Linked DNA regions of Tribolium castaneum. The protein of the gene in region 1 purifies or fractionates together with the protein of each later gene. This does not show direct contact. Links are inferred from orthologs where the notes say so. Each region holds a gene or a part of one and is shown in the gene's direction. Other genes may lie near its edges. The genes, in order: gamma-glutamyl hydrolase and calnexin.

The links.
Region 2: the proteins of gamma-glutamyl hydrolase (region 1) and calnexin purify together in Homo sapiens (affinity purification with mass spectrometry; 3 studies listed by BioGRID and IntAct, with this or other methods). This does not show direct contact. The link is inferred for Tribolium castaneum from reciprocal best matches to the Homo sapiens genes GGH and CANX.

What each region holds. Positions count from the first base shown.
Region 1 is NC_087394.1:32,517,071-32,521,474, reverse strand, and holds the start of gamma-glutamyl hydrolase, read left to right. Parts: upstream 1-1,519; 5' UTR 1,520-2,470; coding exon 2,471-2,585; exon of another isoform or gene 2,586-2,623; intron 2,624-3,077; exon of another isoform or gene 3,078-3,345; coding exon of another isoform or gene 3,346-3,397; coding exon 3,398-3,530; intron 3,531-3,581; coding exon 3,582-3,632; intron 3,633-3,683; coding exon 3,684-3,910; intron 3,911-4,404. Other genes in the region: pentatricopeptide repeat-containing protein 1, mitochondrial, read right to left, coding at 1-842. UniProt on the Homo sapiens protein: Hydrolyzes the polyglutamate sidechains of pteroylpolyglutamates. Progressively removes gamma-glutamyl residues from pteroylpoly-gamma-glutamate to yield pteroyl-alpha-glutamate (folic acid) and free glutamate.
Region 2 is NC_087402.1:5,189,811-5,194,205, reverse strand, and holds the start of calnexin, read left to right. Parts: upstream 1-1,324; 5' UTR 1,325-1,520; exon of another isoform or gene 1,521-1,525; intron 1,526-1,528; exon of another isoform or gene 1,529-1,623; intron 1,624-1,809; 5' UTR 1,810-1,828; coding exon 1,829-3,055; intron 3,056-3,738; coding exon 3,739-3,879; intron 3,880-4,108; coding exon 4,109-4,249; intron 4,250-4,301; coding exon 4,302-4,395. Other genes in the region: nSMase (putative neutral sphingomyelinase), read left to right, coding at 1-70, 117-300, 349-1,140. UniProt on the Homo sapiens protein: Calcium-binding protein that interacts with newly synthesized monoglucosylated glycoproteins in the endoplasmic reticulum. It may act in assisting protein assembly and/or in the retention within the ER of unassembled protein subunits.

The sequences.
Region 1 (4,404 bases):
GCGTGGCGAAAGCCCGCTTCCCTGTCCTGGATGCAAGCTTGCAGCAGGAAGTTCATCGTATCTCCGGTGATTTTGACTTTTTTCGCGGCCATTTCGTCAACTAATTTGAACGCAGCTGGGAGGTCACCACAGCGCCCGAACGCTTTGATCATGGCGTGATAATTTGTGTCGTTCGGTTCGTACATTTTCTCTATCATTATGTTTTGCAGCTTTCGGGCTCTGGTTAGGCCGTCTTCTGGCCAGGGGCTGTTGGCACAGGCGTTGAACAACGCTGTGTACGTGCCAGCTGTGATTTTCAAGCCGCGTTTTTTCATCTGGTTGTAGACAGAAAACGCCTTTTTCGTGTACCCCACACGGCCGCAAGCGCCGATTAATAAATTGTAGATGTAATTTTCTGGCTTGACTTTGTCTTCCTTGATCATTTTCACCTCAACCACGTCGATTGCTTCCTTGATTTTGTGTTGCTTGATCAGTGCTTTTATCATGTCGGCGTACTGTTTTGTGCTTTGCCGTTTCAAGGGGATTGTTTTTTCGGACCAGTCCTTTTCCTCTTCCAGGTCTTTTTCGTAAATTTCCTCCCTTTCTTCGGGGTCGCCAAAGGTGTCAGGGTCATTTTTGAGACGTACTAAAAACTCCTGCTCGGTTTTTTCTTGTGGAATATTTGCAGCATGTGAGAATAATCGTGTGTTGGAGGTTAGAACTTCGGTTTGGGCATTTTCCCGAAATTTACAGTTTAGCAGGTGTGGGTATTGCTTAATATTTAGCAATGTATTTGCTTTTTGTGGCTTGCCACTTTTTACGGCTTGTTGTGCCAGAAATTTTAATAATTTTAAACGATACATTTAATTTTTTGCTTCCATAACCTCAAAACACAATTGCTGACAATTGACAGGTTCCAGCTGTGCCAACACATGAGGCAAAAAATTCAAAATATTTTTTTCAATAATAATTAAATTGTCGTTTTGGAGATAAGGTAGTCTTAAAGATAAGATTATAATTAGTCTTCTTAAAGACATTAATATTTTTTGTATAAAAATTATCTGGTTTAACAATAAAATGTAGTTTTTTTCATATTATTACAGGAAAAGACTGATACTTGCCTTATTTTCTCTATTTTTAATAGTTTTGCTTCATAAGAATTTTACCGGGAGTGAGTATAGTAATTAATGCGTTTCAAGGTTGGCGCACATGCGACGTCGGGCGTCGCGACGTTGGTCGTCGATTTTAGCAATGACGTAGCAATATTAACGTTAAAATCACCTTCACGACCTCAAAGAAACTGCGGTATTAGAGTTAATTCAAGAATTTAATCACAAACGAGAGACATATTACATAATTTATTTGGGTAACATAAATTTATTAATTTTAATTTATTAATGTCTTTTCTGACTTTAAAGGTAATATGTCAAGAGTAATTTTCTTAAAATTCTGGCGTCAGAATATTTATTGTTTGCTGCAAATTTGAGCTATCATAAATATGACTGGTAAGAACCTAACATTTATACACGTAATTTAGTTTTTTCATCAGTAAAACAAGTTGGAGACTGTTACATAACAGTCAGTGCGTTTCTTAATTCTAATTTTGATTCACATTTTGTTCTTGTATTTTTAATAAAAGAGGCGTTTGGCAACAGCTTAATTTTCGGCAGTTTTTTTTTCTGCTCCTTCTGCAGCTGCAAAAGACGTTATTTAACAAACTGACTTTACTTAATTTATTTAAAAGCAGTTTGTTGTGACTAGGATTGTGACCAATATTGTTTTATTTGTAACGAGAATTCACATTCCTTAAACTAGGCACAAGCGAAAGAACGATATTTTACATAAATACAAAGATAAATGACAGTTTGTTCAGATGATATGGACTATTATATATTTAAATATTTTAATAAAAGAAATGTGTCATGTTTGGGGAAACGCTCTTTGAATTTTCCTCCAACGGTAGGTGAATTGGATTGACCTTTGACCCTTGCTTTGACCGTTTTTGCACAAAATGGCAATAGAATTACATTACATAACGTCAGAACCAGAATAGACCAATTGATTTTAAGCTGAACTTGTAGTGCAATTATTATAGCACTTAGCACCTACATTCCGAAATAATTACCTAAAAAATGCAGTAATGAATGAATTAATTTTTTGCGAATCCAAAAAAGCATGAATTAATCTCTGCAGGAAAATATTCATTCCCCGACTGCAGAATGAATTGAAGTGTGAGATTTATACAGTGGGAGAAATTGGCTATAAAAAAGTTAATAAAATAATGCTCGGGGTGAAAAGTTTATTTAGAGTGGACGATGATCCTAATTAATTTTTGTTCGAAGGTTAGTGACTAGTGTTCGAGTAACATTTGAATAAATATTTGCCTAAGAATTTGTCTTTTAATTTTTTGAATTCTCACAACTGTTATGTTTATTTCTGCTCGTCTGCTCGTCAGCCTTGAAATACTAATATTTCCTTTAATTGATGTTTTATGTTTACCAACCGTGCCTACGAATGGTGTTTAGAGTCATGTTTTAATCTGCAATGTCATAATTTTTGTAAACGTAATCAGCAATTTGCCCAAAATCATAACATAATGTTCGAAGGTGCGTAAATGCAACGTATTACTTTGATTTTTCGAAGGGTAAGTATATTTTTTAATTATTCAACTCCATTTATTTATATTTCAAGTATTCAGAACTGGGTCAAAACGCATTATGTACTCACTTTATTTTATTTAAAAGGCTTTGTTTGTGGAGCAATCAAATGCAAACATTTTTTAATTGGGTCAAAGATGTGTAGGTACTTTTTTCGAGGAAAGCGAATTAATTTAATTCTAAAAAGCATTTTGTTTATCTTTGTGATGCGTAGTCGTATTTTTACGTTTTTATTTGTACATAAATATTTGAAATTTTCGGAATTACTGCAAACTCTTACTCCGTATTTTGTTACAAAATTGTTTACACGTTCTATTGACCAGCTGAAATAATAAAAAAAAGGTATAATTTTTATTAAGCTGCACGTCTTGCAAATAACTCGTGTCCAACATTTGTGATCTCTATTTTTGTTTGTTACAGAACGGATTATTTAAAGTATTCCCTCCACTGTACAAATTAAAATAAACTATTTTACCAATTTGTTTTTTATTTCCGCTATTCACTGACAACAATAGTTTATCTTTCTCCGTGCCGCTGTTGTAAAAACAAATCGCTGATAAGTAAAATTTTGAACAAGCTATTGATTTACAAAATGTTTCCACACTCGTTTTGTTTGTGGAGAGATAAATACTCGTACTGTTCCTCTTTTAGATAAGCTGTCTCAGCTGTTTTGTAAACGCGATATGTTAGTAGACGATAGACTTTCACCATGTTCCAATATCTATTAATTCTCTCTCTCACGAGTTACATAAATGCTGCAGAGACTCCCATCATTGGGATTTTATCCCAAGAAGCTTATTTAGTTAAGGATGCTTATCCAGACGCCGACAGCTTCATCGTAGCTTCTTACATAAAAATCCTCGAAAGTAGCGGTGCTCGAGTTTTGCCCATTTGGTAAACAGTCCCATATTTCTAATACTTTGAATTGCCAAATCTATTTTCCAGGATCGGCCAAGATGCGGCTTATTACGAACGGGTGGTGAATTATACCAACGGGTGAGTTTGTGCTAAATAATCAGTAATCACCATAACTCCATAATTAACCAGCATTCTATTTCCCGGCGGAGGGACCTACTTTAATGAGACGGGAGGTTATGGCGAGGCAGCAAAACAGCTTTATGAATTAGCCGTCAAAACTAACGAGAAGGGAGTTCATTACCCTCTGTGGGGCATATGTTTGGGTATGCAGGTGCTGATGTATGGGGCGGTGGGCAGGGACATCCGAGGCAATTGCCAATCGAAGGACGTAGCTTTGCATCTGGAGTTTGTCGCAGGTTAATTTTTTTTAATTGTGTTGAAATTTTGATCATTTTTGTCCTGGTTTATTGTCCCGGTTAACTCGGAGGGATTTGTTCTTGCTGTCCTAATTAAAGGACATACACGAGACTTCGTGAGGTGAAACAAAAGATAAACATGTCGTGGTGTTTGACCTTTGCCTGTAATTAGTTATTACGTTCTTCCGACTTGGACTAGAAAGCAAATTATTGCCACCTACCTGCAATATTACACTGCATTATTTACCCTCTTCGTTGCTACTAAATTTTAGCAACTTCCTTATTTCCCGTGCTTTTACGAGTGTGTTTGAGAACAACACAAGTTTTTATTTGGGGGTTTAATTGGCGTACGCATTTAATTACATTTATTTATAATTACACAATTAATTACATAACAAATTCAAGCCTATAGTAGCTGTGTTATTACGTTGCATGCGTTTTATTAAATAACGCAATCAAGTCGATAATTTATTGAATTATTACCAACAATTACA
Region 2 (4,395 bases), on another chromosome or scaffold:
TTGACTCTGACTACCAGTTAATCAGAAACAAAGTCTCAGGGGTGTTACCATACTCTCACTATTTTTACAGGTAAATTCAAAAATTCAGTTGAAACAAGCGTAAAGGTGAGTTGTAGCGGAGTCACGGGCTCTGGCGTTTGTATTTTATCGCGACACCCGATGGAGGACGTTTTTTTCCACCAATGGCCAGTAAATGGTTACATTCATAAAATCCACCATGGTGACTGGTTTGGTGGAAAGGGCGTGGGTTTATGTAAATTAAAGGTGAACAATTACACCGTCAACGTCTACTCTGCACATGTAAGATTTATTTTGCTTGATGAACAACACAAAGAGTAATAATTTTAGTTGCACGCAGAATACGACCGAAATTGTGATGAATACCAAGCTCACAGAGTGCTCCAATCTTTCGATACCGCTCAATTTATCCAAATGACGTCTGGAGACGCCGACCTAGTAGTCCTGGCCGGGGACTTAAATACCGAACCTGGAGATTTAGCCTACAGGATAATGTTGAGTGTTCCGGGACTTGTAGATGCGTTTGGTGAAGCTGGAGAAACGGTGCAGAATTGTGTGGCGACAAATGAAAGCCTCACTAATAGTTACACACCCGTGGCCTTACTCAAGAAAAACATTCCTGGCAAAAGAATCGACTATATCATGTATCATCCAGGCTCAAGTTTACAAATCGATTTAAAAAGCTACACATTGCCGTTACCACACAAAATCCCCGGATGTGCGTACAGTTACTCGGACCATGAAGCAATCGCTGCGACTTTAATCGTCACAAAGAGCGAGATAAGGTCGCTGAAAAGCGACCAACACATGAAGAAAACTGTCCTTGAAGAGAGCATAGAAATCTGTGATGACGCACTCAGGGGCTTGAATAACCATAAATATTTGTACTGGTTTTTTACGTTCGTTTTAATCGTGTTGCTGGTTACGACACTTGCAACTGACCTACCTTTCGGCTACAATCTGAATTTTATTTACCACATTTTGAAAATTTTAATCACCCTTTTTATGTTTTACACTTTGATGATGGCAACTATCTGGAATAAAATCGAACGTCATGCTGTGATTGCGGGCAAGTTGGGAATGGAGACAGCTTTGAGGAAATTAAAAGCCAAAGATTTGTAATTATATCAGGGCCAAAACAAGCTCAGTATTTTAAATCAAAGACCAACACCTGTTGCTCATTTTTTATTTGGTTTGTACGACTGTGATCGTTTCTGTACCACTGGTGAATAAAGTTTTCATTTTTTAACTGTTTGTACTTTTTTTCCCCGCCTATTTTTGAACTGAGCGCAACTTTGCCATCTGTTTGACGCTGATTGGTCGGCGAATTTGTGTTTATTCTCTTCATAAATGCGGTGTATTACGTGGTGTTCAAGAACTACAATAAAAATAATCTGATAATAAATGAAATACAGCCTAAGTAAACACCAATTTGAGTTAAGACTGTGGTGCTGAAGCTAGTGTTGTAAGAGTGCTGTGTAAAACTACTTCCGGATTTTGAGGTTAGGTATGTCATTTTATTTTGTCGGTCTCTAGAATTTTAATTATTTCATCGTGAAGTCGGCTTTTTTGTGCATTTTGTAGTAATAGCGTGTCGATAGTTGGGTAAGAGAGTGCGTTTTTGTCGATATTTGGCGTAATTTCGTAACTAATCGATTGGGAAGTGCGTTCACTAACCTTTCAGGTTAATTTTTTAAATTGGATTAGTCCCTGACTTATATTAGTAAATACTGCTTCCGTTTCGTCATCCTGTAATCACGACACATAATTAGTGCCCGGTTTGGTTTGCAGGACAATATATGATCACAAAATGCTTAGAAGTCTCGTTCCGGCAGTAATCACGTTATTGTTGATATTTTCGGCGGTAAAATGTGACGAAGTGGACGATTCTGACGAGGCTACTGTGGAAGTAGAACCGGAAGAATCACACATTGATATCCCCTACGAAAGTCCGAGCCCCCTTGACCCGAAAAAGGTCTATTTCGCCGAGCATTTCGACGATCCAGACCAGTTTGCGAAACGTTGGATAAAATCCCAAGCGAAGAAAGAAGGGATTTCCGAAGACATCGCAAAATACGACGGTGAATGGCAACTTGAACCAACCCAAAAAGACAGTCTAGTGGGCGACAAAGGTTTAGTGCTTAAATCAAAGGCTAAACACGCTGCTATTGCCTCCTCTCTCCTAAAACCGTTTATTTTTGATACTAAACCATTAATCGTGCAATATGAAGTAATATTCCAAGACGGCCAAGAATGTGGCGGAGCCTACTTGAAGCTGCTCACCCAGGACTCCGCCAGTAAAAACTTGAACAACTTCCACGATAAAACCCCCTACTCGATCATGTTCGGCCCCGACAAGTGCGGTAACGACCACAAGCTCCACTTTATCTTCAAGCACCGCAACCCTCTCAACGGGAGCGTCGAGGAAAAGCATTGCAAAAAACCCAAAGACCGCATTGAGGAAGTCTTCTCCGACAAACTCCCCCACTTGTTCACCCTTGTCCTGCACCCTGACAACACCTTCGAGATCCTAATCGACAACAAAGTGGTCAATTCGGGAAGTTTGCTTGAGGATTTCACCCCGGCAGTGAATCCTCCGAAAGAAATTGACGATCCTAATGACAAGAAACCTGAGGATTGGGATGAAAGGGAGAAAATCCCTGACCCAGATGCCGTGAAACCTGACGATTGGGATGAGGATGCGCCGGCTCAGATTGTTGATGAATCAGCGGTGAAACCGGAAGGTTGGCTGGATAATGAACCGTCGCATGTTTTCGATCCTGATGCAAAGAAACCAGAAGATTGGGATTCGGAAATGGACGGGGAGTGGGAACCACCGCTTATTGATAATCCCGCTTGTAAGGATGCTGTCGGGTGTGGGCCTTGGGAGCCCCCACTTATCAATAATCCCGATTATAAGGGGAAGTGGAGGGCGCCGCTTATCGATAATCCTAATTATAAGGGGAAGTGGAGGCCCAGGAGGATCCCCAATCCCGAGTTCTTCGAAGATAAGCATCCCTTTAAAATGCAGACTGTTGTAAGTAAATGGTTAAAAAATTATCTTGTTTATGTAACTGTAATTATTGGTGCCGATATGTTTACATTATTTTTTCTTCTTGTTCAAATTTATCAGTTGATTTTGTACACTATTAGAACATAGTTTACAAATCTGCAGTCAAAATTTGGCTGTCAGCTCTAGTTTCCTCTCCAGTTTCCAGAATTTGTGAAAAGTATATTTCGATATGCTTTGTACAAAAATAACAAATTCTGAGCTTCTAATTTTGTTAGCAATTTTTTTAGAGTGCCTAGGACAGTGAGAAAATGGTAAAAGAATTGCCTCTTGATAAAATTGAGCCAACTTGAAATTGACACATTTATTTTTGCGATTTTTTTTTATTATCTTTGGTTTTTGGCAGAATTGTAGTTGTTTAATTTCCATATTTTTACCGAAACTGCGTATTTGATTATTGCATTGTTGCCTTCAACAAAACATGTTGCAAAAAAGAATTGTTTGTGTCACTACAAAAGGATTTAGTTGCTATGTGAGATATGCTAACTAAGGAAGTAATATATACTTAGCCACACCCAATCGTTTTTATGCTTATTTTGGCGAATTTGCGTTCGTATTGTGATAAAAATGTTTTGTAAACCTAAATAAAGAATTGTATTTTTGCAATTCATTCAAGATTAATTTATCTTTGGACAAATAACTTTTTTCAGACCGCTGTTGGATTTGAGTTATGGTCAATGTCAAAGGACATTTTCTTCGACAATATTATTATTACCGACGATATTACCGTTGCGAACCATTGGGCAGACGCCACTTTTGAAAAAAAGAAGCAAAAGATCGCCAAGGATTCGGTTAGTATCTGTTTAATTTAAATGAATTTTATTATATTTGTGATTTTTTACTAAATAAGAGGACACTGTGGGGTCGTCTTATGAAAAAGTTAAACTATAAACCTGTACCGTGGTTCTTATATTTCGTTTATTGCGCCATACCGGTTTGTTGTTACATATGGTACCTCTACTTCTGCATTCAAGAGGTATTTTCGTACTGCTAGTTATAGTTTTCTTTGTTTTGACATAGGAAAGCGTAATTCAAAAATTAGCTACCTTGACCAATGATTACCCTTGGCTTTGGGGAGTATACATTATCGTACTAGGCATCCCTGTTGTTTTTGTATTATACCTTTGCTGCAAGCCTGGATCCTCTGCTAGTCAAATTCAGGTATTTTGGCTATTGCATTAAATTTTGCGGTGTTAATAAGTGACAATGACAGGAGAAAGAGGAGCTTCGACAAGCAGCGCAACATAAAAAGACTGACGAAACGACTGAAGATGTTGTAGAAGAAGAAGGTAAAGAAGAAGAAGAAG